4 linked regions of the Neodiprion lecontei genome follow. The protein of the gene in region 4 purifies or fractionates together with the protein of the main gene of each other region. This does not show direct contact. Links are inferred from orthologs where the notes say so. Each region holds a gene or a part of one and is shown on either strand. Other genes may lie near its edges. The genes, in order: nucleolar GTP-binding protein 2, nucleoplasmin-like protein, nucleolar GTP-binding protein 1 and cell growth-regulating nucleolar protein.

Evidence for each region.
Region 1: the proteins of cell growth-regulating nucleolar protein (region 4) and nucleolar GTP-binding protein 2 purify together in Homo sapiens (affinity purification with mass spectrometry; 3 studies listed by BioGRID and IntAct, with this or other methods). This does not show direct contact. The link is inferred for Neodiprion lecontei from reciprocal best matches to the Homo sapiens genes LYAR and GNL2.
Region 2: the proteins of cell growth-regulating nucleolar protein (region 4) and nucleoplasmin-like protein purify together in Homo sapiens (affinity purification with mass spectrometry; 3 studies listed by BioGRID and IntAct, with this or other methods). This does not show direct contact. The link is inferred for Neodiprion lecontei from reciprocal best matches to the Homo sapiens genes LYAR and NPM1.
Region 3: the proteins of cell growth-regulating nucleolar protein (region 4) and nucleolar GTP-binding protein 1 purify together in Homo sapiens (co-immunoprecipitation; 3 studies listed by BioGRID and IntAct, with this or other methods). This does not show direct contact. The link is inferred for Neodiprion lecontei from reciprocal best matches to the Homo sapiens genes LYAR and GTPBP4.

The regions. Positions count from the first base shown.
Region 1 is NC_060265.1:21,565,977-21,571,653, forward strand, and holds nucleolar GTP-binding protein 2, read left to right. Parts: upstream 1-1,805; 5' UTR 1,806-1,965; intron 1,966-2,303; 5' UTR 2,304-2,308; coding exon 2,309-4,486; 3' UTR 4,487-4,598; downstream 4,599-5,677. Other genes in the region: actin-interacting protein 1, read left to right, coding at 5,105-5,120. UniProt on the Homo sapiens protein: GTPase that associates with pre-60S ribosomal subunits in the nucleolus and is required for their nuclear export and maturation.
Region 2 is NC_060260.1:25,711,898-25,719,052, forward strand, and holds nucleoplasmin-like protein, read right to left. Parts: upstream 4,918-7,155; 5' UTR 4,736-4,917; coding exon 4,714-4,735; intron 4,426-4,713; coding exon 4,310-4,425; intron 3,576-4,309; coding exon 3,362-3,575; intron 2,864-3,361; coding exon 2,787-2,863; intron 2,517-2,786; coding exon 2,442-2,516; coding exon of another isoform or gene 2,415-2,441; exon of another isoform or gene 2,196-2,414; intron 1,812-2,195; coding exon 1,704-1,811; 3' UTR 754-1,703; downstream 1-753. Other genes in the region: nucleotide exchange factor Sil1, read left to right, coding at 5,219-5,354, 5,634-5,911, 6,004-6,242, 6,477-7,155. UniProt on the Homo sapiens protein: Involved in diverse cellular processes such as ribosome biogenesis, centrosome duplication, protein chaperoning, histone assembly, cell proliferation, and regulation of tumor suppressors p53/TP53 and ARF.
Region 3 is NC_060263.1:16,127,429-16,133,395, reverse strand, and holds nucleolar GTP-binding protein 1, read left to right. Parts: upstream 1-2,010; 5' UTR 2,011-2,123; coding exon 2,124-2,171; intron 2,172-2,441; coding exon 2,442-2,716; intron 2,717-2,833; coding exon 2,834-3,071; intron 3,072-3,164; coding exon 3,165-3,407; intron 3,408-3,483; coding exon 3,484-3,738; intron 3,739-3,808; coding exon 3,809-4,096; intron 4,097-4,186; coding exon 4,187-4,465; intron 4,466-4,584; coding exon 4,585-4,728; intron 4,729-4,810; coding exon 4,811-4,966; 3' UTR 4,967-5,040; downstream 5,041-5,967. UniProt on the Homo sapiens protein: Involved in the biogenesis of the 60S ribosomal subunit. Acts as a TP53 repressor, preventing TP53 stabilization and cell cycle arrest.
Region 4 is NC_060265.1:31,636,780-31,641,254, reverse strand, and holds cell growth-regulating nucleolar protein, read left to right. Parts: upstream 1-2,496; 5' UTR 2,497-2,507; coding exon 2,508-2,632; intron 2,633-2,761; coding exon 2,762-3,764; 3' UTR 3,765-3,845; downstream 3,846-4,475. Other genes in the region: nucleolar complex protein 3 homolog, read right to left, coding at 770-775; EP300-interacting inhibitor of differentiation 3, read right to left, coding at 4,435-4,475. UniProt on the Homo sapiens protein: Plays a role in the maintenance of the appropriate processing of 47S/45S pre-rRNA to 32S/30S pre-rRNAs and their subsequent processing to produce 18S and 28S rRNAs. Also acts at the level of transcription regulation.

The sequences.
Region 1 (5,677 bases), about 10 Mb from region 4:
TGTCAATAAACCGTTCGGGATCAGAGACTCATTTCAAGCGTACAGTGTTTATTCACTTTGCGAACGATTAGTGCGTCTCGCAAAACTGGAATTTAAGTGATATTATTGTATAATGTCGTGTCCGGCGTAATATACATGTCAAGGGCGTCTCAGTGTACATACGCACCTATATAAAATTACAGCTATGAAACCGCATCGACATTTTAAAGAACGAAAAATATACCATTGTTATCATTGATGATACCTTAATGTCATAAATGATGATTGATGTGTCTGTATCAAATAGTCCAACTAGAAACTTTTAATGTTAAAGTTATTCGAACGCGTTCCAGGCGTTCAGTTTCATTCAGCAACGCAAAAATGTGGATCAAATTGTTACTGTTGATTCTTACATAGTATCGTTGCTGCCGTGGGAAAGTAATTCGTCGGATTCCTCGTTCCGAAACGATATGTGGATATACCTTACATTTTCAATCATCGGTTTAATCATTTTCTAGCATTTGACTGATACCAATTTGAAAAAAATAACTTCCAGAGTATCCATTAATTCTCCTCTTATACCTTGACTCCAATAATTAGGAAACAATGGAGTTGTATTTTACCGTATAGTACCGTATTCATAGTAAAAGACGAGTTGCTGCATATGTATTTTTGTGAGTGATTACTGGTGGTGATTTATATCGATGTATACAGCACGAGTATACAGACTTCCGGATTGAATGACCATTATTATTCCTCTCCAATGCGCTGAAAAAATTTCTAATTGTGAGTAAATTAAATTAGCATCACGGTGGTGAATACAATTTTTTATACGACGCAACAACAGGGAAAGAAACACGTCCGAAGTCATAAATTATTTTATTTCCGAAACCAACACAGCTTATATTTATCCATTTTCTTTTATAACTATTATTTGACCAGCTTGTAAGTTCCTATAATTGCTCACGATATTTACTTTTGAGCTGTAGTGAATAGCTGGTAGCAGAGTCCCTATAGGTTTTCTATTCTACAAGGTATAAGCCACTGACAAATTATGTTTGCGCAGGACAGAATGGCAGTGATAACTATAATTTATGATCGCCCTGTGGGTTCCTGTAATTGCTCAGGATGTTTGCCTTTGAGCAGTAGAGAATAGGTAGGTTTTTTTTAAATCTAGCATGTCCTTTAGATTTTCCTTTCTGTTGAAATAATAATCCATCAAAGGAAGAGCTTATGAGAACCTCCTTAATCTGAATCTCTTGGAATCTTCTCATTAAGATTGTTTGGGATGAATTCAGTTGCTTCAATTTAAATTCTACGAATATAAATAAACTATTAGTAAAACTGAAAATCAGCGAACCTCAACTTACAAGTCTTTGTGGAAGACACAGACGTTGTCCTATCATTACAAGATTAATTAAATCCGTCTGCAATTAAAAATTGGAGCATTTTAATTTTTTCGTTTATACTGCAATATATTTTTCCATGTATTATGTCTACGTTAAACTTGATGCTAAGGGAAAAATACTTCGTTTCAGTCACACTGTTTGTAAACTCTGATGCCTAGATAATAATATATTTTTTTTAGGTATTTTTCGCTACCTAAAAAAAATTTATGAACTCAATTTCTCGTTGAAGATAATTTAAGAAAATGCATTGATTCCAAACGGCGTTAACATACTTTTAGTCAACGTTTGCTGCAACAAAATAGTATCAATCCTTATAAGATGTCGATAATTTTATGCGTGTGTGGATGCGTAGTGTATCAGCATAATTGCGTATCTTAGCCACCGCTACACGGATTTGCTGTGTTGCTGATGGCACGTGCAGCAAGCACTGGCCGCCAGACGGCAGCTGTGGACGAATATCAAAGATTCATAAGTAACATTAACCTTACATGTAGCGGTTGAGGGTGGAAATATTATCTTCGTCGTAGCACTTGGTGCTCCTATATTTTGTAATCCAGGAACCTAATACGTAAATCAGGTATTTATTAACTTGAACAATTTCATGTGGGCAGTAATAATCGATTGGTGTCCAAACGCCTTGCGTATGGGCATTATGCAGTTTTGAGGTTAAGTTGATTAACACGTGTTTTTAACGTCAATTATAAAATTTGTTTGTAATATCTATTAACGTTCCCAACAACACGTGTAATATGAATGTCGCAGAACTAGCTGTGAAATACTTCGTTCTGAAAATCTGTTTATACTGGAGAAAAAGCTACATTATTATTTAACGTTATTTGACATAACCTACCAACAACTTTTTCATCCATACTAATAACTACTAAATTTATTTTATTCTTGGTATGATGTTTTCAGAAAAAATGGTGAAATCACATTCTGCTAGTAAGGCTCCACGGAAGGAGGGATTCAACAGATCGGGGCACAGTATGAATCCTGAAAGATCGACCGAAGGGCTCAAAGGTGTAGCGAAGCCTCGAACGAAGGCGACAATTAAAAGGCTGCAAATGTATCGTAATTCGAAACCAAAGCGTAATAGAGTTGGTAAAATTATAAGTCCAGCTCCATTTCAAGGATGGCATGCATCTGGTACGGTTTCTCGAGTCGAGCCCAGTCAAAGGTGGTTTGGAAATTCACGTGTCGTTTCTCAGAATGCTCTTCAACAGTTTCAAAGTGCATTAGGAACAGCTATGAAAGATCCTTATCAGGTTGTGATGAAACAGACCAGATTGCCCGTTACTTTACTACAACAAAAAGCTGCTAATGCCAGGGTACATCTGCTCGATACAGAGAGTTTCCAAAATGTGTTTGGACCGAAGAAAATTAGGAAGCGACCTAATTTGCCCATTACAACCTACGATGATATGCAGGCTCACGTTAAGGAGAAGGAGGAAAAATATAACTCTGAGAAAGACACTAAAGATCATGATTTGATCAGACCGGATGATGGGACACGAGATGTACAGAGAGACTGGGTTATGGCTGCAGGACAAAGTAGAAGAATTTGGAATGAACTGTATAAAGTAATCGACTCATCAGATGTTGTTATTCAAGTTTTGGATGCCAGAGATCCAATGGGAACTCGATCTCCACCTGTAGAAAAATATCTAAAAACTGAAAAGACCCATAAACATTTAATTTTCATATTGAACAAGGTCGACTTGGTACCAACTTGGGTCACACAGAGATGGGTTGCAATATTAAGTGCTGAACATCCGACCCTTGCTTTTCATGCCTCGTTGACTCATCCGTTTGGAAAGGGTTCGTTGATTAATCTCCTACGTCAGTTTGCAAAGCTGCATGGAGATAAGAAACAAATTAGCGTCGGCTTTATAGGTTACCCAAATACAGGCAAAAGTTCTATCATAAATACTCTGAGATCTAAAAAAGTCTGCAAAGTTGCACCGATTGCCGGAGAAACCAAGGTATGGCAATACATTACCCTGATGCGGCGCATATATCTCATCGATTGTCCTGGCGTTGTTTATCCGTCTGCCGAAACAGATACGGAAAAAGTTCTGAAAGGCGTTGTTAGGGTTGAACTCATTACTAACCCTGAAGACTACATATCGCATGTATTGGAACGAGTGAAACCTGAATATATGCGTAAGACTTACAAACTCGACGAATGGTCAGACCACATAGACTTCTTGGAAAAACTAGCACGTCGGACTGGCAAACTATTAAAAGGCGGAGAACCTGACGTAGCAATAGCAGCACGAATGGTTCTTAACGACTGGCAACGCGGAAAGCTTCCTTTCTTTGTCCCACCTGTGGGATTTGAAAATCCATTACCTAAGAAGGCAACGGAAGAGGAGACTGTTGCTGAAGTATCGAATGAAATAAACGAAGATATTACTTCGGATAAAAATGAGGAAACTGAGAATGAGGCAGTGAAAGAACCTGTCAAATTGTCACTTAATGTTGTCCAAGATTACAGGAAGATCAGAATTGGTTTGACATTCTCAAGTGAAGACAACAGAGATGTTTTTGCTGATGAAACCGGAACTATTCAGAACGATGATAAGGATAATAATACAAGTTCAGCTGTGTCTGCAGATGACTCTCAGCCGCCTAGTGAATCTGAAGAAGAAGAAGCAGATGAAGAAGAAAAAGAAGATAATGGTGAAGGAGAGTTGTTACACCAAGAGAGAAATGACCTGAAAAAGTCTGGAAGTAAGAAATACAAAACAACAGCAAATGCTGAAGAAGAGAATGATTCATTAAAGGATGATGAGACGTTTTTTGGACCTGAGAAAGATAGCTTGATGCAAAGTGCCTTCGATGTTGTAGAAGAAGAATACGATTCTAGTGATAGTGAAGTTAGAGAGATTAAAACAACCTCCAGCAGCGGTACATTCAGCGTCTCTGACGAACCAAGGAAAAAAGAAAAAACAGATCCAAATGAAAAGAAATTAACTAGTAAGCAAAGAAGAGCTATGGAGAGATCAAATAAGAGAAAGAAAATAGGAAGCGATTTCTATGAAGTTACTAATGTAAAGAACAGAAATAGAAACAGAAAAGTTCCGAAGACAAGATAAACCCAGCACTTTGTTATCTGCTACAGTTTGACCTATTGCCCGGGTAATAATACGTTTGCCACGCCAACGTTGTTTCCCTAATCCTTACCGAATAAAAAGTGTAAATACTCAATTCTCTAGTAATTTTCACCCATTTACAATTGCATAATGCTAAAGAGTTGACTGAAGATACAAGTCAACGGATTTACCATATCTTCAGTCGATGACAAAACTACTGTCGAAATTTCATCTCATTGCATCTCACGCTTTGGAGAAACTCAACTGCATATGCTGCACTAGCTTGCCAGTCTTTTTGAAATTCAAAAAAGAACCTTTAACCAGAGACCTACTCATCTCTGCTTTAACGCGTATTCTAGTACTAGGAGTTGCCACCAGACTTCGGTAGTTTTCCAAGTCTACATTCACGTATTCTTAATCACATAGTTCATGATCCAACCAAATAAGGCGAAGGGCGGGACAAATATACCAGATGCGAAAGTGGGGGAGAGGCGGTTGTGGTGGTGATACGCGACTGATACGTGACTCAGGTGACAAATCAAGCCCGTGTGTGAAGATTCACCGGGTTTACGTATTTTTCATACTAATTAGCGGCCGGTCGCGAGGCATACAAGGGTAGAAATGTCATATGAAACGAGTAAGTAGTATTTTCAAGCTTTCCGCAAAATTACCACTCATTGTGCTCGCTATTTATGTTCACCGCCTCCTCGAATCCCTCGGTCGTAGCAGTTTACCGTTCATACTTATTCTACCGCATCTCTTCTCTCGTGCAAACTGTGTGTGTTTCATTCATGTGTGCGAATTATTTCCCAGGATGAATTTCGACTCGTTTATTTTGAGGTGTTGTTAATTTATGAGAGAAACAAAGACTTAGAGCGACGGTATTTATCTATACATTGCACGAATTGCTGAACTGATAAAAAAGTATACTTCCGTGTGATGATATCAAATATGAGTCAACTTAAAATGAGCTCAAACGATTCTGGATATTGTGCAAAAGATAAACGACGAATTCGAATACCGTTCGAATCCTAGTTTCTAGAAAACATATTACAGCCAGTTGGGAAACGAGAACTGGTGCCAAGTTTAAAATAAGGAATTACATATCTCTGATTTTCATTTTGATACTAGAAATTCTAAATGTAATTTCACGTTTGTTGTCATATTTATTTAAGTAAATCTTTTAAGAAACAT
Region 2 (7,155 bases), on a different chromosome or scaffold from region 4:
ATACATAACTAGAACGTACCCCGATGGTTTCGATTCGAAATTTAGGTACATGAATGATTCCCAAATGTTTGAGGTTTGACGTTGTTAGTAAAAAATTTGAAACCCAAGGAGGCCCAACTTTTGTTAACCGTTAAAACCAATGTTTACGTATCCAAAACAATGATGAACTTTGATATAAAGTGATGCACACATTTTACGTTCGGTAGACTTAGGCTAATATGTAACAATTTTTTTCTATTATTTTTCCCACAGTGATAACTCCTGCCATTTAACTGTCAACCTATCAACTCTGAGCAAGACATGTGACAGTCATAAACCAACCTTAGAAATTTTCGTGGAAGTAATCCCGTATTTGAAAATGTTTTCTTCATCGAGGTCGTAAAATGGCAGGCCAGAAGACCTACGACTATAAAATTCCAACCACACCAACTTCATCCCAGCATAATTATTCCTTCGAATATATTTACAAAATATCAAATATTTCAAGAGTAAAAGTAGTACAAATTATTAATATGACTATAACTATAGAATATCAAACAACCGATCGTTACTATGATCCCACTGATTTTTACCTGGCTCCAACTGTTCAAGGCCGTGGTTCAAAGTGTTAACTACCCACACCACTTCATATTTTCTTGAAAATTAGACCTCGCGCGGATAATGGGAGGTTTGACATAAAATTTTTCAAACAAGAAAGTGTTTTCTAAGTCTAGTCACGCACTGTACAAATTTACATAATAAATTAATATTAAGTAAAAGTTAAGTGAAATTTTTATTGTATCGTATATGTACAAAAGAGTATACAGACGTATGGGCACGTAAGTGGAAAACACTGTGTATAACACATGTTAAATAAGAACGGTGCGCCGTGCATATAGTGTCTGTCTGTACGCCGGCTATTACTTTTCTTCAAATGGAATGAATATCGAGAGATGACAATGTTCTGTTTTAACTCCTTCTAATGGTCATAAAATTAATCAAAGACCTCGTTTAGTTCAAAATAAATATACTAGATCAGTGGGATAAAAATTCCGTCATGATCTTTATAAGAAGTAAATATGATTATCAAGTGGTGTTATAATATAGCTTTGTGTTTTCTGACTGGAAGTCGAGCTGCGGAAGAGTAGGATTAAAACATGCGTCAATCTGTCTCCGTCTGTCTGTCAGTCTATCATTTGTCTAGCATTCGGATTCACGAACTTTCAAATCTGAGCTGTAGATTGCTATTCCGATGTTCAGGGAGACGCAGAAGCGTTAAATACTGAAGAGTCGAACTTGCATTGCCTTCTATATAGACTTATTCCTCGAAAATGTGTTCTCACTGATGACCTTGTCATGGCTCCGCGACCCTTTTATAGTCGCTAGAATAAAATACATATTCATCTTATAGGTATTTTTACACAAAATTAGTCTGGAAATCTTCAAGTAACGCATTAATTCAGTAAGGTAACAGATTGTGTGCCTAATATCTGTGATCTTTTTCTCTTTGCTTTTGCTTCTTCGTTGCTTTCGATTGAAGAACAATTGTTATCATGAAAAAAATGTACACAACCCAGCCTCAAGATTTTAGAATCCGTGAATGGATAATGAATGGTCTCTTTTGACTATCAGATGAAACGATACTGTAACACGCAAAACGCGAATGATGATGAACTTACATTCAAGAGCCTAGCCTAGGATGTGTTGGTAATAAAACCACGGATTTATTTTTTCTTATTCTTGTTAGCTTGATTTTTGTTTTTAGCTGGGGTCGCTAATTTCGCATTCTTCTTTTTGGGCTCTTCTTCTTCGTCTTCTTCATCCTCAGGGTCCTAAATCAAAAACATCAAAGAAATTAATGAGAGCAGATTCCGATTACGCATTCTGTTCTAATAATTCAATCTAGTGTAGAGACAATAGTGTCATAAATCCAGACCGATCAGTCTTAACTACTCAAATAACAATTCATTATTTTATAAATTAATAGTTATATTATTTTTACCGTCGAGTAACAAAACTCGTAGTCGTAAAAGAAAAAATTATAAAACCTAATCTGTGATCAAAATTATGTATCATAAAACCCTGAGAAACAAAATTTAATATTACAATGACCGGAAAGTAGTCAAAGATGTATAGACAACATTTAGAGTAGGCCCATTATATTGCACACTGCCAAGATGGTAGGTAGTGAAATAAAATGCAAAATCTAAAAACAATTATTCCAAAGACGTTGTTTATTTTTCAAAAAAATTAAAACTTAAATTATTTTGATGTAACATAGACAAGTACATCTGTACGTTTCAAAGTTACCATTATCATCACTCTAGTCTGGTGAAATGAAGAGTTGATGATTAAAACGAATTTAATTGATGTTTGAAATGTATAGTCTGTATTTAACGTAAGATATGTAAAACTTATTGCTAGGACCAAGCATGCTATTTTCGATAGTTCTCCTTGTCTACCTCCTCATCCATCTTGGCGCGTTTGGTGCCATTTTTTTTACCCTCGCCAGAAAGTTTCCGTTTCTTATGCGAGGCCTGAAATATTAATTCCCATTCACATAACGTATGATGGTCTCCTAACTTCTAACCATACTCCTTCAGTTTTGTACCGATTGTTAAGATAACGTATTGCTAACACAAATCCAATTTCAGAATTTTTGTTTACAATACGCTTAATTTGCTTTTGCACAATAACCAATGGTCTGAATCAATTGTAATTACGAATGGGTTATTTATTTTCAAAATTGACAATTTTTAATTGAAAAACCCTGGCTAAAAGCTGTAAAATTTTAGATTTATATTCACCTTCTCATCATCTTCGTCATCGATGTTTTCTTCCTCCATTTCGTCCTCCATGTCTTCAAATTCATCCATATGCGTCCCTGTAACGAATAATCGAGTTTATTAATGCATGATATATTCACACAATATATTCTTATACAATACAGTGCAAATAAAACTGTAATCATAGTTTTTTGATCACTAAAATGAGATGAAGCTGAATTTAGTGACTTCAGTCAGCAGCCGATGTAGTAAACTTTTTTTTAAAGATAATCATACATAAATTTCAGATCCGATGATTCTATGAAAGTACTAAATATTCATGAGATTCAGTGAAATTTCAATTGCTAGGCTTCATTTCCAAATTTTTCAGCATAATTACTATTCGTCGCCATTGACTCTGGTCACTAGCATCAGTTCATTAAAATGAAACATTTTCTCATTAAATACGATAGTCTATAAAAGATTGCGGCCAAATGGTGTCTCGCAAACCTTGAGCGTGCATCGCTGACACAGCTGGTAGTGATGTTGCAAGTGTTATTAGTCCAAATATATCAGGAGTGAAGGAAGATTAATCTACGAAACAAAATGAAACTTACCAAGGAGATTGTGTCCTACTATATGGACTGGACCGCTGCCTTTGATTAAGGTGAATGTGACGGGTGGATCAGGGAAACTTAGATCGAGGATGATTTGTGCAGTTTTGCCCAGTTCCAATAAGGCAATTGGGATTTTAATTGGACCTTTGAGTCCCATCGCCTCAACTTGTAGTACGTTTAACTCGCCAGCTTTGGCCTCAGGTCCCAGAAGTGCCTGAAGTCACAAAAAAAAGATATAGATAATGAACCTCATCGGATTATATTGACCATATTCGTAAGCTAAATGTTAGTGTTGCAATAAACTGATGAACTATTAATATTAAATAAACAGTACTTTCAAAGCTTGCCTCAAGGCTGACATACTTTTTATCAGAAATTGAAACGTGTTACTGTTTATTCTTGATCGCTCGTCATTCATAATTTTTTAAATAAAAACAGCAGCTAGTTAATGTCGACTCAAGCTTAAATAATTTACATTATAGATGTTGATCTTACAACTTGCAACGATTAAACAATCAATTAGCTTGTCAAAATTTAAGTACAGATTTTCTTTTTGGGATGACTATACTTATTATATTGATGCAACTTATCAGAAACAAATAGGTATACAATAGCAATGAATTGGATATTTCAGAGTTTTTTCGAATGACAATAATTTAGAAGATGAATGCAAATGGCGCCAAAATGCGTTAAAAACAGCGATAACAATTTTCAAGGACAAAAATCATCGATTGTTGACACACTGACGTGTTATTTATAAATTTTTATTTCTGGTTTGTTCTAGGATCAAATTTTGCGTGTTATAAAGGTTGAGAATGTGAATCGGCAAAATTGCGTACGCACGGCGACAATGGCGCTAAAGATGGGTAACACAAAATGAATCAAACAGTAGCTGATGAAGTGTAAAAAATTAGATACTTGATTACCAGATTGACAATTTCAACTCACCATTTTGATAATGAGTTTTTGGTCAGCGCCAAAATGTTGATTAGCACCGTCAACGTCCTCGTTTTTGTGCTCAGGATCCCAGACCTCGGTGGCATTGGGTCCTTGCAAAGTGATTCCTGCATACAAATTGACGCAAGACTTGAAGAATGTAGTTTACGCATAATTTAAATCGACATAATAATCATTCTGTGGCACATCGACGATGAGAGAAATAATGAATGGTATAATAACCAAGATTTTTGTACAAAGACAATGGATTCGCCTGCATAATGGCCGATATTCTGCCGGCGTCCACACGTAGGCATACAACGGTGTTAAAACAACGGTATGTATCGAAAGTATTCGCTATTTATGGAAAATAAATAAATCAGCATATCCGTTAAGTCTTAGAGTATAATATTTACCGTATAAATATTCCTCAGCCATGGCGATCGATTAGATATACACAGATTCAAACGTTTTGAGTTGCGGGTCTGAAGCCGAGGGACGCCGCGTAACTGGGTAGAGACTCGGAATGGTCACACGTGTTTGACGATCTCGCAGCAAATGAGTTTCGCGTCCCTCGGCTTGCGCGCCTAGAGTACGTTCCACCTTCTGATTGGGTCCTGCCTCCAAACTTCTGCGGTCATTCCGACGCGCTATTGGTCTCGAGACGGCACCTGGCGACAGAAGTGACGAACTAGGTTTTGCAAAACGACTGCATTAATAAGATAAATTTTCTCAACAATAGGCAAACGGTTTGTAAAACGTGACAGCGCGAGTGCGTGGTATTGAAAAACCCTTGTAAATATTATTAACGGGTTCTCGTGTCGCTTAGAACGGATATTTAATTCCTATATGAGTAACCGTATATTCTAGAAGAAATCCGGCACCTGCTCACAGCGCCTATTCGACACGTTCTCTTGGAAAATGCGTTACGTGTGCGATCTATGCTTGTTTATCATAGTCTCGTATCTCTGGATCAACGATATCGTAGCTTCGGAGAAAGGATCGAAAAATGACAGTGTATTTATACCCACCAAAGAATGGCAAGTCGTTGAAAAGGGTAGGTCGAGAAACGGGACTACTTTTCTCGCACTTGACGTGTGCTTACAACGTCAGTCAAGTACACAGGCCTCGTGCGATTGCATAAATTGATCGTTTACCAACGAGAGATCGGCATATGGCTCATAGATCATTCGCCCTATTAAATTCCCCACTTTACACGGTGCGATAAGATTCGATACGCCGTTATATTTCACATTTTGAAAGCTTTTTCGGGGTTTGAGGCTTCTCGATTATTCGACGAATCCCGCGCTTCCTAACGAACGCTAATAATTTTCAGGCACACCAATCCCAAAAGGTCTTCATGTTCGGCATAATTTTCAAACTGGCATTACAGAAGCAAAACTGATGGAACCCAGCGAGAAAGAAATTTCGGATAACGATGAAATGCGCAAATCCGTAGCCCTACATCCAGACGCGGAGAATTTAAAACCTTCGGAAATTAATGATGGACAGATTCAGCACGATGATAGGACTTTGAAAATATCTGGGGAAGAATTAAAAACCGAATTGAAAAAAATTAAGTCTAACAAGACTCCTTTCGCACGGAAACCCAAAGTAATTCGTCGCTCAAATCTATCTTAATGTCAAACAGGAAATAGTCGCATTTTCCACATTACTGACATCTTATTTTCCTTTCTTTTCTAAAGCGTGCCAGGTTCCAGAGCTTTGATGAACTGAAGAAGGAGTATGAGAACATAAACTTTGGCCCGTCAACCGACGTTGATTTATTAGGTATTTTCATTGAACAGTTTGATACTCATCGAACTGCAATTACGTCCGGATCACTAGATGCCAAAGAGATCAAAGACATCATGGATATATTGGGTCAGTTAGAATACCTGGTCCATGACATTGACAATGGGCTCGAATTCACCAGATTCGGAGGGTGCGTACAGTCTACATTTTACAATTTTTGAAATTGTGCATGGAACTGTTTGAAATAGAATTTAGCATTTTCACGTTTTTCATTTTCCATTCATCAAATCTGTTGCTTCTAGTCTGAAATTAATACATCGCTCTTCATCTGCCTTCTAGGAAAACTTTACTTGTGCCAATTCTTATAGTATTAATTCGTATCATATAACAATCGGTCTTCACTTTACATTGTAAATATTTTCAGCCTGATGAAAGTGATACACCCTTGTCTCAATGGCACAATAGAGGAGATCAAGTGTGAAGCCCTTCATGTCCTCGGAGCAGCTGTACAGTCAAACCCGAAGGTGAAGGAAATAGCACTGGAGTCGGAATTTGTTCCAATCATTTTACGCATGTTGACAAAACACGGCACCTCGAAGTTGATGGATCGATGTATATATGCACTGGGTTCCCTGGTCCGGAACTACCCAGCTGCACAAAAAGCACTACTGAGTCACGGCGGCTTAGAAATATTTTCTCAGGTTTTGGCAGATGGTCCCATATCTGCACAGAAACGTATAATGAACCTGGTTAACGATTTGATCATCGAAAGGGAAAATTTAAATGAAATCGAAGACTTGGAGCGCCGTAATTTGAAAGTGCAAGAGTATACAGACGTTGAATTAGAGGGAAAAATAGTACAACATAAGTTATGCTCACAGTTAAGCAGTTTACTAGTAAAAACTATACAGAATGAAGTGAAGATTGAATTCAATGCTCAAGACCACGACTTACTAGAAGCTATTTACGAATGCGTACTCACTGCTGGCAATATCTGCAAACTTGAGTTTAAACAAAGCGAAGAAGAAATCTTAGCTGCTCTGCACAGCATCAGTGCCTTGTACAAAAGCTTGGGTCTAAAATTGCGTTCAGACGATGATGAT
Region 3 (5,967 bases), on a different chromosome or scaffold from region 4:
TAGTTTGGGTCACCAATTACCGATAAAGTATTGAAATACACCGGACAACGGGCATTCTGTCGCTCTAATCGAACTAACCGAGGAAGGAGTAATTATTGGATAAAAGATTTAATTAATTGGCTTACCTCTTGAGAATACTCTGGATATGATGACTTGTAGCGTAGATTGGTGAGAGCATTTAACGGAATAACTGATTCTAATATATTCGGATACTTTGATTAACTTGGATTTATTTTATAAGTTCAATATTTCAAGTCACAAAAACGGAGTTACTTAGTGTAAGATCTTAAATTAATATGACAAAATGGAGCTGAAAGCTCGCTGGACTTTTGGGCAGAGTAACGTTGTATGAAAAGTTTAAATGCAAAAGGCAAAAGGATTTTACCGCGAGACTGTACCCGAACAAGATGACGAATCTGGTCATAGAAACCAAGTGGACGATCGGATGATCGGTCGCCGTTTTTATAGGGGTCGATCGTTGCGCAGAACGATCCCCTTTTTTATATTTTGTCACCTTTTGCGCACCTCCCCCTTTTTTTAGGAATTCTAATTAGGGCACGCCATCTTCGCCGCATGCACGCCTGTGATCTTAGTTCATTAGCTACTACTATATTGCAAGTTTTTACATATGGTATAACGCTGCACCGGTGCGGTGGTGTAGGTGCGGGGTCGTTGTTCTATAATTTTCCATTCTGCGTGAGCTTTGTTGTTGGGGCGCAAGCCCCCCTTGGCCCCTCGGCTACTGTGCTTCTTCCCGCCGTCTCGTGCTTTCGGCAGCTATTTCCTAATATGGTAATCGCAGTGCGGATGCGCTAGTGGTGACTCATGTTTTATGTTAGTGCCGTGTGCATTTTCGGGCTCACGATACGCTTAATTCTAGTTCCTGTTTACTTCCTAATATTCTTACTATCCTGTTCGTTACAAAGTCTATATGTCATATTGGTTACTCGTCGTTTGTTAGTTTTATAGCGTGTATCTATATAAAATTACATATGTAATATAATCGATTACTGTCGTTATTCACCTGGATTATAATAGCGATTGTTTATGAGACATAGTTGCTGTTTGCTTAACATTATTAGAATCGCGCTGCTGCGAATATTCTTAGGTGTTTGTGTTATAATTATCTTAACAAATTTAGGGTATTTAACAATTTGATAATCCATAGTTTTAGAGCAGGTTTACATGTGTGCTTTCGTATATAATTCTCTTCTGTAATTATTAATTCTTATATTGATATAAATCGGCTTGGAAGCTTCTAGAACGTTTTTCTTATGTTTGTTGGTTGCCTGTCATTGGGCGTTGCCACGTATGCATCTTTGAGTTTATTGCGAGTTGATTTACCTTCAATCGTTTCGTCGGTAAGTTTCCTAATGTGTTCTCTAGATGAAGCTCTGTATGGCTCCACATTGGAGATCTGCATTGCCTTCAAAACGTTGCGCGTGTTGCCTACAATACGGCGTTACGGAGGAAGGTACAGTTCATGCTGGATAATTAGTATTCACGGTTTTGAAGGTTTTGCAGTCTCTGGTTTTATGGATTATTGCAGCAGTGCTATCTTTACATTATATTGGTTATACATTTATCTATGGTTTTACAATCTTCCGTACTCCAGGTTATATGGTATAGCGTAAGTCGCTTATAGTATAGCTCTCAGCTCCGAATGCACAAATGGCATTGTCGAGTGCTATATAATAATTGGATATAATCGTGTTAGTTAATTATGGTGTTAATATGATAGTGATATGTAATAACGTATAATAATATTATAGCTCTTTGTAGTGCGAAGATCTCGTTAGTGAATGTCATAGTTATTTCCATCTAGGGATATTCCAAATAGTTAGACAGTTGTTTTAATTCCTTATGGTTACAAGATTCTCATACTTCGAGTTTGGTTAGTTGATAAAAGTAACATGCAGTAATAATAGTCGATAAAACATACGGACGTTCCGGTTGGATGTTACACTATGCTGGTAACTTAGTTGATTTATTATCCCACGGAGGGCGCGACACCATCTTTCTTTTCGGGAACGTCGTGCAGCACGTGCGTGATGGAATCCCAGTAACATTAGCAATATTCTTCATATATTTGCTGTCACCCAAGTGACAAATCATCTGTAAAAATGGCTCTGTATAATTTCAAAAAGATCGCCGTTGTCCCGACAGCCAAGGTAAGCAGATCCTCGATTGAGCGTCGAATCTTAACCTAGTCAAAAAGACACGTTCAATTCTGATGTCAAGCCAGAAGTACTAATTTCATTCACTCTCTGACACTGCACAATAAATCCCAAATAACGATCCGCACTTCTGTAATCCGACTCGTCGACTCACTGATTCAGAAGTCTTGAAAATTGAAGTTACCAATATTTTTAGGTTATCGACATGTCCACACCGTTATTTTTTCGAGGATTAATAATGTCATCTTGTCTGATGTTTTACAGGACTTCATCGATATCATCTTATCCAAGACTCAGCGCAAGACACCAACCGTCATACACAAAAACTACAAAATATCAAGAATCCGTGCATTTTATACTCGCAAGGTGAAATTCACCCAGCAAAATTTCCACGATCGCATGAGCCAAATTATCCAAGAGTTTCCAAAACTCGACGATGTTCATCCGTTCTATGCCGATCTCATGAACGTTTTGTATGACAAAGATCATTACAAACTGGCTCTGGGACAGATTAACACTGCTCGCCACTTGATCGACAAGTAATTATGCTTCTTTTTCATAATTCGATTTAATACTTTTTCCACATTTGCTCGTTTCAAGCTCGCGAAAGTGAAGAACTTGTCTGTGTTGAAATTTAATACGTCTAATTTTTTTAGCGTTGCAAAAGACTATGTGCGTCTTCTAAAGTATGGAGACTCCCTGTATCGTTGTAAACAACTGAAGAAAGCTGCGCTGGGTCGGATGGCTACCATAATGAAAAGACAGGCTGCAAATTTAACTTACCTAGAACAGGTTCGGCAGCACTTAGCTCGATTGCCGAGCATTGATCCGTATACTCGCACGATCATCATTTGCGGTTTTCCCAATGTTGGCAAAAGTAGCTTCATAAACAAGGTGAATTACCTCGTAATCTGGTTTGCAAATGTGTCTAATTATCGCTAATTTTTCAGCAACAGCTTTTGAGACATTGATTGATTTTATTAACAGATCACTCGAGCGGACGTCGAGGTGCAGCCTTACGCGTTTACGACAAAATCACTGTACGTTGGACACACAGATTATAAGTATTTGCGCTGGCAAGTCGTAGATACACCCGGAATTTTAGATCACCCATTAGAGGAGAGAAATGTTATAGAAATGCAGGCTGTCACAGCGCTTGCACATTTACGTGCTGCAGTTTTGTATTTTGTTGATATATCTGAGCAGTGCGGCCATTCGTTAGAGGAACAGGTAATTTATTCAAAAGAAAATATCACCGACTGTGACTTTATGTGCATTTGTGATTAAAACTTAATTACCTATGCAGGTAAAGCTTTTCGAGTCCATCAAACCTTTGTTCACAAACAAGCCACTGATGATCGTTCTGAATAAAGTTGATGTTCTTCGACTGGAGGAGCTGCCGGAAGACAAACGTGAAACTCTAAAGCCTTTCGAGGACGATCCTGACCTTCCGGTAATTGAAATGAGCACAATTACTGACTATGGGGTCATGGAAGTCAAGACTCAAGCCTGCGATCGGCTGTTGGCTCACAGAGTCGAGCTCAAAATGAGAACGAAGAAGGTAAAGTTGTGGAACAATAACCATGAAACAGAATTTCTCGCGAATTTTGCTCATTATATTTATTCAACAGATGGAATCTGTCCTGAATCGATTACATGTAGCTCAGCCCACTGCCAGAGACCAAAAAGCGAGGCCACCCTGCATTCCGGAAAATATTCTCAAAAAGAAAGAATTGGCAGCTGCAAAGACCGAAAGAAAGAGGAAACTGGAGCGTGAGATCGAGGAGGAAATGGGCGACGATTACGTATTGGACTTGAAGAAAAATTACGACATTGAAGGGGACCAAAAGTACGACATTATTCCGGAGTTCTGGGAAGGCCACAACGTAGCGGACTACATAGACCCCGACATTTTCGAGGTAACCGTCGATTGAATCGATTTTAGGAAGCGAAAAATAATGCTGTAAATCATATTCCCATTATTGTTATCCCTATTTTGTTATGCACAGAAATTGAACGCTCTGGAGCAAGAAGAAAACCTGCGGGAGGAGGCAGGCATTTACGATGCTAAGATTCCGGAATTGAGTGAAACTATGCGAGAGATTCGCGACTTGGCAAAACAAATTCGGGACCGCAAAGCCATCATGAAAGACGAAGCACGAATCGCAAAGGCCTCTACTAAGCCTGTTATGCCTCGCACAGCTGGCTCAAAAGTGCGAGATCGTTCCGTCACCAAGCTCCGTGATCAAATGGAAGACTTGGGTGTTGATATGGAGGGCACAGAAAATGTAAGTTGGCATATTCCTCCAACAGGCGTATGAATATGAAATATAAGAAAGAAGTGTTTTAGGTAAAAATGCAATGAACATTTTATCGTTCTTCAATCATTCTCCATTATATTCGACAGGCGAACTTCACCAGGACCAGAAAGAGATCTAGATCGCAATCGCAGCCTGCCACTAAAAGGATGCGACTTCAATCCGAGTCCCAGTCTAGAGCGCGTAGCAGTTCTAGACCAGCTCGTAATGATATGGGAATTAAGGATAATGTTGTAAGTGCTGAAGTTTCATTTTTTAAGTTCAGCTTTTTTTTTTCTGTAGTTTAATTACACACTCTATGTTTCTCTATCACAGATGAAGATGAAGTTAAAAAACATAGCACACAAAGCAGTGGCAAAGAAAGTGGGCAAAAAGGGATTGAAAGGAGAAGCCGATCGATTCATCGGGACAAAGATGCCGAAACATTTGTTCGCTGGGAAACGAGGAGTCGGAAAAACGGACAGGAGATAAATATATATTATATATATATATTTTTATATCAGAACTGCTCCACCGTAAATACATATGTATACGCGTTATACTTATGTAACTAGCAAACTTTATTTCTACCTAGAATCAGCGGAAACTAAATATCCAGGCATATACTTGTGAAATTCGATTCTTCATTAGCATTATCAGTGGAAAATTGCGAATAAATAGCATTACATAATCTATAACGATAATAAATTAAGGATAACGATCAACGAAAATTTCATCTAATTTCGCATTTGAGCCGACAATTTAACGAGTGTTTCTGACATTGAGTAGGAATGTTGTATAAAAAGATGAAAGATCAACCAAATGAAAGAAAATTAAAACAGTTTACATACTGTAAAATAGAAATTATTCAATAACTTCGGTGCTACAATTATAACGATAAATTATTTCACCGCGCTTTGCAGTAAATGTTTGGTGTTACATAACGTAAGGCGATTCATTCGGTTCGAATAAGGGATAGGCAGTTTATGGATGACGAAATCCGAATCTCAGTGTTGTGACACGAGGTAGCGCCGTTGCGGGCGGAAGTGTGACTGAAGTCGGCTAGGCCTGCTTATAAATAAGGCAACAAATGCAGCAAGGTTTTGCGCTCAAGATATAGAAGTGAATTTACAACAATTAAAATGAAATATACAATTTTATTGACTAAAGCGAAGTCGGGGTGAATATATTTGTCGAAAACATCGCGGCGCTACCTCGTAGTATTTTCAAGTGACGCCGTCGCCATGTTTGTTTTTAGTATTTGAGGAATGAAAAGTGAACGCTAGAATCGGTTTGAATAAATACTCTTGAAATTTGGTGAAACAGCGGGTTTGTCAGAAGTGACAATAGTGTCGATGATTTCCGGAATATGGTAAGCACCCAGCGTCCCGCTGTTATTGTTTATTTATGAACGTTTTTATGTTGTTTTTTTTTCGTACAACAATTTGATTCTCTCGCGGCTAGTGGAATGAACGCATAGTAGCTGCCTAGGC
Region 4 (4,475 bases):
TCCTCAACATGCATTCTTATAATAATGTTACTAACTTCAAACTTATTAAATGCTGCATATTCTCTGACCACTGGGATCCAGATTGCAAAAAGAGCTGTTGTTAAGTATGGATGTTACGGTGCGAAAAGTTTGTATCAAACAGTAAGGGTAAAGTAGCAAATAAAAATTCAAAATATGTGTCTCAGTTTGTTATAACACTATGGAGTAGGGGTGCACGGTATTTCAGTATCTCCTTCCTCGAAATGTATCGGTACGGGAATACCGAAGTTTCTGATAACCTAAAGTTATTTAGTACAGTTCAATACAGATTTTTCTTAATCTTTTTTCCGACGATATTTGTAGATTAAAGTCTACCGACATTTCGATATTTCGGTTAACCCAAACTACCGAATACGAAACCCGTAATGAAAATCGGTACCTAATTTTCAATACCGCGCACTCGTACTATGACGAATCGGTTTTGTTTACTATTCTAAGACCTCTGGAAAATACGTTTTAATTCATCTCAAGCTAACTTAGACATAAATATAGTTATTACTGTTGATTTTAAGAACATTTACGTAAGAACAAGCTAAAATGTGAGAAATCACAATTCTCTACAAGTGTCGAAAGTGTGAATTTCCGGGAATCCATAATACGGTATATAATTTTTGATGCAATGAGCAGATGTGTAGTATGGCGCGTTGCACCATTAGGTTATGTCACCTTGTGCAATCGGGTGAAGAAGAATTGTATAGTGCAAATATATATTTGAATTCACTTGACTTACCCCCATATCAGAACAATGGTTTTCAAACAGAAAGAGTAAATGCTACTTTTATGCAGACACCACTTCCAGCGTCAATGAATTTCAAAATTGACCCAAAGCACGTGGACGACGCGGGATCGTTAACTCACGAGCAGGCTGATCTCTGCTGATGTCGCTGATGACCGCGGGACAACATTCAATGCTGGGTGTATTCCGAACACGAAATAAGAGAGAATGAGACCGAACTCTGCCGAGGCCGCATCCCAAAAGTGGGATCAATTTTCCAGCGATAAAAAAGTGAGCAGTTCGCTGCGAAGAATAACGGAGATGACGAGTCACGCATGCGCAGTACGACTTAGCTGCGTCCTTATCTCTCTCGCGTAAAGTGCGAGTGAGATAGTTTTGTTATGACAGTGAGGTTAGTTTTTACGGTAAGATGTCAGCGTGTCGTGTACCGCAGTGCAAAACCAAATATAAAGACAAAAATAACAATCACACGTTGTTTAAAGCTCCCTCGGTACGTAACGTGATCATAGAGTGATGGTAAAACAAAATTATACTTCTGTTTATGTTTATTACCAGATTGTACAATAAATTGAAATTGCCAACAACAAGCAAGAAATATCGTTTTTATGTATATATCTAATTTGTGAATCCTTATATTCTACATCCTAACCTTATCTCCTAATTCTCATCACTGTAGCTGAGAATTTCTATTATGTAAAACTTGTATATATCCTGATTCTCCTATTTACCATTTACAATTTTCGTATTGAACATGATTGATAAATTGTTTACATTTAAAGCATGAGTGTAAAAAATGGTTGTTCAATATCCTAATGATCTGGCAAAGGCATTTTATCTACGTTGTTTAGAAGAACAATAAACTGATCCATATTAACAAGGATAATACATTCTCAGAGCGGCCAAATTTTATTGTCTATGTATATTTCAACGTGCATATCTGGTAAAACAGCAATCCTTTTCAATCTTTTGTAGACCAAAAAATGTGCGATCTCCTCGTGTAAAACCCCAACTTGGTGCTGGTAAAATACTTACACATAGCTTTTTCCTCAAATACGTGTAATTAAATTCATTAAGTACTTGCTCCATATCTGTAAGAACGTCCAGAATGATTCAAATGCTCCACTATTTACGGCTTAAAGTTCCATAAACAACGTTCGTAAAATACGCACCTATGATTTCTGACTTCGCAGCGTATTCACGTTTCTTTTTTGCAAATAATAAAGCGATATTTGTGATTCTATCATTATGCCAAGAAATTATTACGCACCATAACCTCATGAACTTGCTGTCACAACAACAAAACTGTCTCACTCGCACTTTACGCGAGAGATACAAAGACGCAGCTAATCGTACTGCGCATGCGTGACTTGTCATCTCGGTTATTCTTCGCAGCGAACTGCTCACTCATCGCTGGAAAATTGATCCCACTTTTGGGATCGGAGTTCGGTCTCCTTCCCTCTCACTTCGTGCTTGAAGCTTGGCATCTTGGATTACCACGCAGTATTTAACCTCAATTCGAGTGAGTAAATCTACCACTAGGCCTATGATTTACAACGACCTGAGTTTATTTTACCCAACAATTATAGCTCATTTTTAAAACGGTATATTTAACTTGTAGGTTAGTTTACTTTTATGCTGTCAACAGTTGCCAGTCGAAGCAAATCCCGACAGAGCAAATTGGAGAAAAAAATACTTGCATTCATGATTCTCCGGCACGTGCTTATCCATAAAAATGGTATTTTTCACGTGTACTCACTGTGGTGAGGCAATAAAGAAGCCTAAAGTCGGAAAACACTTTCAATTCAAGTGCAGAAATTCCATTTCAGTCAGTTGCATGGATTGTTTCCAAGATTTTCGGTACGTTCCAGTTGGGTGAATTTATCTGATTTATAAAACAAAAAAACTAGAATACAATTAGAAATATGAATAATTTGTAATATACCTTGCATAATCTGTGTGCTAGATGATGTATGATTCCATGTATAGGGGACAAGAGTTTGTCAAACACACCAAATGCATAACGGAGGCGCAGCGGTACGGTGGAAAAGACTTTGTCCTCCGGCCGAGCAAAAATAAAGGAGAGCAAAAACAACAAGATTGGGTTGCAGTAGTACATGCTGTCATTGAGAATTCAGAAAACCTATCTGCCGCTGAAAGGAACATTCTTAATACATTGTCAAATCATGACAATGTGCCGAGAAAAAAAGCAAAGTTTTTTAATTTTATGAAAAGCATGTTAGCCGGTCGAGTTAACTTGACAGTCCTCGAGAGTATATGGACTAAAATGGAAGAAGCCTTCAAAAAAACTTTAGTGAATAAAGCTCCTACAAATACTAATGTTTGTTCTGTCGCTCAAGATAATGTAGTGACACCGTTGATTCAGACAGATATATCGGAAAATGAGAACAACGAAAACTTATCCAATGAATATAAAACAGCAGATCCTAATGCCGAATACAGTGGGAACTCGGAGAATCAAAGTTGTGAAATCAGCCTGCAGACAACTGATAATAGCAGTAGCAATAAATCGAAAAAATCACTGAAGCGGAAAATACCTGAAGAAATGCAATATCAGAAGAAGGAAAATGTCCACAGTGACAATAGAAATTGTGAAAATTTCGAGCAAAATTTATGTTCAATAGGTATGGAAGAAAATTGCGTTGGAAGTAAAAAGTCTAAAAAACTTATAGGTGATGAATTAGAAAGTACTAATTTAACAACTGCAATGAGTCAGAACAATTCTAAAAATATTTCCTATAATAACGAAATGGTAGTCAAGAAATTTAACTGGAGTGATGCTATACTGGAGGTACTTTACTCTAAAAAGGAAGTTTCTCTGAGGAAATTGAGAAAAAAAGTTTTGCGACAGTATCAAATATATAGTAAAGTTACAGTACTAAAAGGAAATGCTGCTGCTAAATTTGACAGAAAAATTAATAGAATGACACAGATTGTTATCGAAGATGGAAAAGTCAAACTGACAAAGTGATATCTAGACAGACAACATCTTGTAAAGAAAACAACCACAATAAAAATAAGGGAATTTTGATTCAATATCATTCATCCTAAATTATTTGCGTTATTTGTTGATTTGCATGCGGTGGTATATCTTCTATATTGTTTTAATCATTTCCCTCCTCCCAAATAATAAGTAACAAATAACTGATCCAGCCACTATTCCGCCTACAAATATCGTACGTGATACATGAATAGCCACTAAGAAATTTTTCCTAAAACTATAACAGCACTTACTTAATAAGCTGGCATATCTTCCCAAAATGTACAGTATTCGAGATATATGACAAGTACAGTCGGACCTCTCTATAAGTCCGTCCAGGCTCCTAAGGGGAAGTTTTTCTAGGAAATAAAGTATCCCCATCTTGCTCTCCTCGCGAGCGGCAACAATCGTTTTCCGTCTTCTTCTACACACCGCTACCTCTTAATAGGACCTGCTGCTCGAGTGGGAGACCACTGTGAGCAAAAAACTAGGGAAGCGTGCTTATTGGGCGAGGTTATTACTCAGAGGTCTGTACATACGAGTTAGAAATCATAAAAACAATGAAAATTAAACATGTGAAAAATAAAATATACGTTTATTGTTTAAATGGAAGATTGACATATTAACGTGATTTTTGATTCAATCCCGTGCTGGGAGAAGTTTACAAATGAACAGAAGTTGTGAAATTAATCATGGCTCCAT